Sus scrofa: one gene and its partner. The protein of the gene in region 2 interacts with the protein of the main gene of each other region in a pairwise test. Links are inferred from orthologs where the notes say so. Each region holds a gene or a part of one and is shown on either strand. Other genes may lie near its edges. The genes, in order: MPP1 and DNPEP.

The links.
Region 1: the proteins of DNPEP (region 2) and MPP1 interact in binary tests that used the Homo sapiens proteins (3 or more experiments, as listed by UniProt). The two-hybrid records come from large-scale screens. The link is inferred for Sus scrofa from reciprocal best matches to the Homo sapiens genes DNPEP and MPP1.

What each region holds. Positions count from the first base shown.
Region 1 is NC_010461.5:125,237,957-125,241,773, forward strand, and holds part of MPP1 (55 kDa erythrocyte membrane protein), read right to left. Parts: intron 3,099-3,817; coding exon 2,955-3,098; intron 2,818-2,954; coding exon 2,739-2,817; intron 1,707-2,738; coding exon 1,621-1,706; intron 1-1,620. UniProt on the Homo sapiens protein: Essential regulator of neutrophil polarity. Regulates neutrophil polarization by regulating AKT1 phosphorylation through a mechanism that is independent of PIK3CG activity.
Region 2 is NC_010457.5:121,390,957-121,394,166, reverse strand, and holds the end of DNPEP (aspartyl aminopeptidase), read left to right. Parts: intron 1-1,748; coding exon 1,749-1,916; intron 1,917-2,281; coding exon 2,282-2,332; 3' UTR 2,333-2,421; downstream 2,422-3,210.

The DNA of each region.
Region 1 (3,817 bases), on a different chromosome or scaffold from region 2:
TGAGCTGGGGTGTAGGTCGCAAATGCGGCTGGGATGTGGTCTTGCTGTGGCTCTGGCGTAGGCCGGCAACTCTAGCTCTGATTTGACCCCCAGCCTGGGAACTGCCATATGCCGCGGGTGCGGCCCTAAAAAGACAAAAATAATTAGAGTTATTAACTATCTACCTATTATATGCACAGCTAATATTTTTCTCAGCCTATTGTTTATGGTGTCTTTTGCCACATGACACATATTAACTTTCAGGCAGTTGATTGTATTTGCGTAAATCAAAAAGAAGCACACAGTGCGAATGTTCACACATTTGAAACATTGTCTACACAGGACGAAGGGATCGGCTCAGAACGAACATCTATAATCAGGGTTTGTGGCCGCTCCAGAGGGTGGGGAGGACAGGTGACTGGCGGGGCTGTTTACAAAGGAGAAGGTCAAGGACATGGCTGAAACTCTGACCACCGCGTGGGTCTCGGGCCTGCAGTTCGGCACCGTCTTTGCATCAGGATCCAAACAAAGCGCCGCACCGTGTGCCTGGCTGACGGGCCTCGCAAGCCGCTTCCTCTGCCCGTACCCCCCACGCTGCCTCCTTTTCTAGTCTTTTGTTGCGTGGAAGGGACTGGGCGGTTGGCCCTAGACTTCAGCACGGGGTAGGGACATGCTTGTCCCTCTACAGGTCCTAGAAATCATCAGCTGAACCGAGAAAACGGTTGGATCAGATTCATGTCCAATTTGGGGGCAGACACCAAGCACGATCCGGGCTCATAGGCGCTGCCTGACAAATATCATCAACTGAATCGAAAAAGCACATTCGACTTTCAGCTATTATATCCCGTTCACTGTTCATAACCAATCGATTACATAAGAGCAACTACTGGGAGTTCCCGGTGTGGCTCAGCAGGTTATGAACCTGACGAGGATCCATGAGGATGCAGGTTCCATCCCTGGCCTTGCTCGGTGGCTTAATTAAAGATCTGGTGTTGCCATAGCTGTGGTGTAGGGTGCATATGTGGTTCAGATCTGGTGTGGCTGTGGTGCAGGCCAGTGGCTGTCACTCTGATTCGATGCCTAGCCTGAGAACTTCCATATGCCACAAAGGCAGCCCCTAAGAAGCCAAAAAAAAAAAAAAAAAAAAAAAAAGGCAATTACTACCAACCTCATTTTACAGATGACTTAGAGAAGCTAACTGACCTGCCATTAAAGACTGAGGTGTTGTGACACCCCGCCCAATTTTTTTTTTTTTTTTTTTGCCTTTTTAGGTCTGCACCCACGGCATATGGAGGTTCCCAGGCTAGGGGTCTAATCGGAGCTGCAGCTGCCGGCCTACGCCACAGCTCATGGCAATGCTGGATCCTTTAACCCCCTGAGCGAGGCTGGGTATTGAACCTGCGTCCTCATGGATGCCAGTCAGGTTGGTCACTGCTGAGCCACGACGGGAGCTCCCAATGTTCTTTCCGGATAGACACTCTGGGTTGTTTGCCTCGCTTTAGACGTTTACTGAATGAAAGCAGAGAGCTGTCACTTCTCGCACACGGTCAAGATTAGCAGTGGTAAGAGTCCCTGCAACGAGGTATAAACACTGACAGAAAAATGAGGTCGACTGCCCCTTCGTGAGGTCAAGATACGCACCATCGCCTTCTGCAGCTGATCCACCGAGTGATCTGTCACATTGGTGCCATTGATTTCTAGGATCTCATCCCCGACGTGGAGGGAACCTGTTGCAGAAGAAGAGAAGCTCAAGTAGCAGTCGGCACAGAAAAGCGGCGGCGATGCTCGGAGCATGGTATCCAACCACCACGTGACACCCAGCCTCCCTGGCCTCAGGACCCCAACAGCAGAATAAAAGCACTTTGGCCTCAGTTCCCTGCACCAGAGGCCCTACTGATGTCCAGAGGCTGTGGCCCGGCTGCAGAGACACTAGCAAGGTCGATGTTTCTCTGCTGTTCATCCAAGAGCTCCGAATGCTACCGACTGCCGAAGTTCCTGCCTAGGGGCCACGGAAGAGTGGCTGTCAACACGTGTGCTACCCTAGACAAAAGAACAACGCGCGGGTCCCAAACCATGCATCTGATGGCTGATGGCAGCTTCACATTAAAGAGTACAACAGGGAGTTCCCGTCGTGGCGCAATGGTTAACGCATCCGACTAGGAACCATGAGGTTGCGGGTTCGATCCCTGGCCTCCATCAGTGGGTGAAGGATCCGGTGTTGCCGTGAGCTGTGGTGCAGGTCGCAGACGCGGCTCAGATCCCGCGTTGCTGTGGCTGTGACATAGGCTGGTGGCTATGGCTCCAATTCCACCCCTGGCCCGGGAACCTCCATATGCCGCGTGTGCGGCCCTAAAAAGACAAAAAGACAAAAAAATAAGAGGTACAACGGTCAGTGTCAGTTACTTCTTTACTATTTTCTCAGTTTCACTCCTGGCCCCAGGAGGTAGACATGGCCTGTTTTCCTCATTGTCATGTAGTCAAAGTTGAACGCAGGGGCTGCATAAAGTAATGGCTCGAGTGTTAACCACGTGGAAAAATACTGCCGTGACCACGTGTACAGGATGCTCAGAGGGAGAGACGCTGGCTCTGGGCAAGTCAGAGGAAGAGCTTGTCATAAAATTATGCTAAAGAGCCCGCTCTTACGCCACCAAAACATCTCTTGGCACAAACACAAAGATGTTCCCGGTCTGGAAGATTCTAAGCTCTATGTCCCTCAACCCCCAAGGGACATGTGACCTACGACCCCCAGCCCAGGCCACCTTGTCTGTGAACCATGCCGCCGTGGAGAATCCTGGCCACCGTGCAGGACTGCTTCTCATTCAGCTTCAGCGTGATGCCCTGAAACAGAGACGAGGGCACCGTGAGCTTTGTCGCAGGTGATTTCTTGGGGCACAGATTCCCCTCCTACCCCCGGGGGGGGCCCAACTCGAGCGGGCGTTGGCGCTGCCGGGCCGGCGGGGACAGGCAGCCTTTACCATGGGCTCCTCGGTGACCTTCTCAAACTGGATGAGCCGCACCTTCCGCACCTCCTGCCCCTTGGCCTGCGCGGGGCTGCCTGGGGCGGCGGAGCCGTTGGTGTACATGTCCTCGGCCACGGCGCTGGCCTGCTGCGACAGGGCCTGTCAGGGCAAACGACGAAGTAAGCGGCGCTTTGGAAACCCCAAGGCCACCTGATCATGACAACGGCAAAGCTAGAAGGACGCCTTCACTAGCAGCCTGAAGGCGCTGAGGCAGAGGACAGAGTGCCGGGGCCTGCGATCCCTGGCAAAAGAGTGTCGTTTTATATTCCAAACCCGGCTCCCAACGTGACAGGTCAAAGGACCAAGGGCTGAGAAGCGAGCATGGACCAGCTGCGTCACCTGGGAGAAGGCGGCCAACGAAACGGAACCCGTGAACCCCCCCATCCGCTTTGGAACGTGTGAGCATCGAGAACCCGCCCTGAGAGAGGCAGCGATTTCGTGGACGAGGCACCAGCCTGCAAGCAAGGATTATTTCATCCCAACGACAAAGTCCCAGGAAGTTCTGCACATGCCGTGGGCGGGGCCAGAAAACCAACGACCAAGGACGAAAAGTTCTCCCGAAAAGACAATGAGGCCGGACGCACAGAGAACTCCCTCGGCTCCAGGAGCAGAATGCCGGGCCACGAGGAGGCGGACGCAAGCTCGGAAGCGTCTCCATCAAGACCCCCGAGGAGCCCATTGGCTCCGGAAAAAGTGCTGCCAGCGGGAAGCAGGCGAGTGATGTCGCACGTGAGGTGAAACACACGTTCAGCCTGAGGCCCAGGCACCCTGATCCCAGGCCTGAGACCACGAGGGGTCTGGATGGGGCAGCCCCCTTC
Region 2 (3,210 bases):
GTGGCACATGAAAGTTCCCAGGTTGGGGGCTGAATCGAAGCTGCTGCTGCCAAGCTGCCAGCCTGTGCCGCAGCCACAGCAATGTGGAATATAAGCCATGTCTGTGACCTACACCAGTTCATGGCAGCACTGGATCCTTAACCTACTAGCAAGGCCAGGGATCGAACCTTCATCCTCATGGATACTAGTTGAATTTGTAACCTGCTGAGCCACAAAGGGAACTCCAATAACCAGTTTTTAAGATGAGGTGTTTTAATGGCTGTCTCAAACACTGACAGATAGGAGGGTTTTTCTTTTCCTTTTCTGATGATCATTATATAGAATCATAGATTTTCTTTTTCTTTTTGGTGGGGGTGGGTGGGGGCATGTCCCGGCAAGTGGAATTTCCCAGACCAGGGATCAAACCTGAGCCACAGCAGCAACCCCAGCTGCTACAGTGACCGTGCCAGATCCTTAACTTGCTGCACCACAGGGGAACTCCAGAATCATAGATTTTCATTGGTTCAGTTTTCATGAGTTCAGTGTGGATCTGGTCCACTGTAATCCTTTCCTCTCCTCAAATTGTCATGACTTTGGCTAGTGGGAGCCCTTTCCACTTAAGTCATGTGTCCTTTGCCATAACTCCGGAAGGTCGTCTTGCTTTTCGGCACAGCCAGAAATTGCAGGCTCGTCTTATTCATTTCTCCTCCCCGACTTGGTAGCTTTTGGTGGATGATGATGTTAGAGACGATGGTCTGGCACCGCGAATGTTCCTTGTTACTGGCAGGGAACACACGTGGGGTCATTTCTATGCATGTGGCTAACAAGAAATAGATGTATTTTAAGCGTCATGAGTTAATACTGTGAGTTTCACTTTTTTAAAAAAGAGCAGTTGTTACTTAGTTCATCTGGTTTTGTAATTCTCTCTTCCCTTACGCAGAAAATCTTGATGTCTGATACCATATTTGGATTTTATTTATTTTTTAACTTTTAGATGAAGAAATCGTTTTTGAGCGGGTGCATTTACAGAACAAGATGACATAAAGAATTAAACCCCTCTGTCCATTCTAGGGGGAAGGAGTTATTTGTGGGAGACATGATGATGGTAGCTGGGACTAGGGTCTTAGAGTGGTAGTAGTTCAGATGGAGAGAATGGGACCAATTCAGAATATACTGCCATTTAGTGTGGACGCTGATTTTATGCGTGTCCCATCCACTCTTCAAGGAGGTTGAAGTGAACAGTCTACCCGGCCCCTTTCAGCCCTGCAGTTATTTTTTATTGATGTACGTATTTATGTCTTTTCAGGGCTGCACTCAAGGCATATGGAGGTTCCCAGGCTAGGGGTCAAATCGGAGCTGCAGCTGCTGACCTGTACCACAGCCACAGCAACGTGGGGTCCCAGCCATGTCTGCAGCCTACACCACAGCTCACAGCAATGCTGGATCCTTAACCCACTGAGCGAGGCCAGGGATTGGACCCACGTCCTCATGGATGCTAGTCGGGTTTGTTAACCACTGAGCAATGGGAACTCCAACCCTGCCATTCTAAGATGACTTCTACCTCGGCCTTAATGAACATACACTTCAAAAAAAAAGACTTCTCTTATGGCGCAGCAGCAGACTAAGGATTTGGCATTTTCACTGTAGCAGCTTGGGTTGCTGCTGCTGTGTGGGTTCAGTCCCTGGCCCGGGAACTTCCATATGCCACAGGCACAGCCAAATAAACCCTTTCACTCATGTTGCTCATGAACCTTTGCTCCTCTCCCCAGGATCTCATGGTCCGGAATGACTCCCCCTGCGGGACCACCATTGGACCTATCTTGGCTTCTCGGCTAGGGCTGCGGGTGCTGGATTTAGGCAGCCCCCAGCTGGCCATGCACTCCATCCGGGAGACAGCCTGCACTTCTGGAGTGCTCCAGACCCTCACTCTCTTCAAGGTGACTCCCCGCCCCCCCATCACCATGGCAGCTGGGCTCCTTCCCCATCTAGTGCCTGGATTGGCTGCTGGGGCAACATCACCATCACTAAGCAGCTGGCCTACGGGATGGGGCTGGTTGTCTTGGTTCTACCATGTAGGAAAAAGAGGGTCCCTATTTTCCTCAAGGCTTAGGAGCCCTGCTCAGCCCCCAGAGGATGTTGAGGGGACAGAGAAGGGATGAGGCATGGGAAGATGGGGCACTTGTCCTGTGTGGGTGAAGCAGTCATGCCTTCCTCTCTTGCTGGGGCCTATGTTGGTATGAGTGGTGCGACGCCCCCAGCTGGTCTCCACTAATTCCAGAGGCCGTGTTCCCTTCTATTTTAGGGCTTCTTTGAGCTGTTCCCTTCTCTGAGCCGGAACCTCCTAGTGGATTGAGGCCTCTCGGAAAGACTTCTCTCGCACTTGAGGTGGGAAGTTCTCAGCTGAGCTGAAGCTGGATTATTAAAGTGGATTTTTCACTGAGACTCATTCTCTTGTGCTTATTTGGAGATTGGAGGGGTGGGGGTTCAGCCTGGCTTAACCCTCTGGAACCAGAACAGATGGGGAGTTGGGTCCCTGTCCAGGTGAAGGAGGCCGCAGCTCCTGGTCACTGGTGGAGGTCTGATTCTATTTATTTTATTTCATTTATTTTATTTTAATTTAATTTTATTCTTTTTAGGGCCACACCTGTGGCATATGGAAGTTGTGGGCTAGGAGTTGAAGAGCTGAAAAAAACCATGGTGGTTTTTTTCTAAGTAGTCGCCAGCCTACACCACAGCCACAGCAATGCCAGATCCAAGCTGCATCTGTGACCTACACTGCACCTTGCAGCAACACGGAATCCTTAACCTACAGATCATGTCCAGGGATTGAACCTGCATTTGTTAGGTTCTTAAGCCACTTAGCTGCAATGGAAACTCCAATGGATTTTTCTTTTTTTAATTAAAAAAAATTTTTTTTAATTACTTTTATTTTTAGAGCTGCATCCCCAGCAGATGGAGGTTCCCAGCTAGGGGTCCGATTGGAGCTACAGCTGCCAGCCTACACCACAGCCACCACAACTCCAGGACCCAAGCCACGTCTGTGATCTATACCACTGCTCACAGCAATGCCGGATCCTTAACCCACTGAGTGAGGCCAGGGATCGAACCCTCAACCTCATGGTTCCTAGTCGGATTCGTTTCTGCTGTGCCATGACGGGAACTCCTATTAGTGTTATTCTTGCTTCATAAAACAATTTTGGAAGTTCTCCTGTTTATTTATTTATGCTCTGA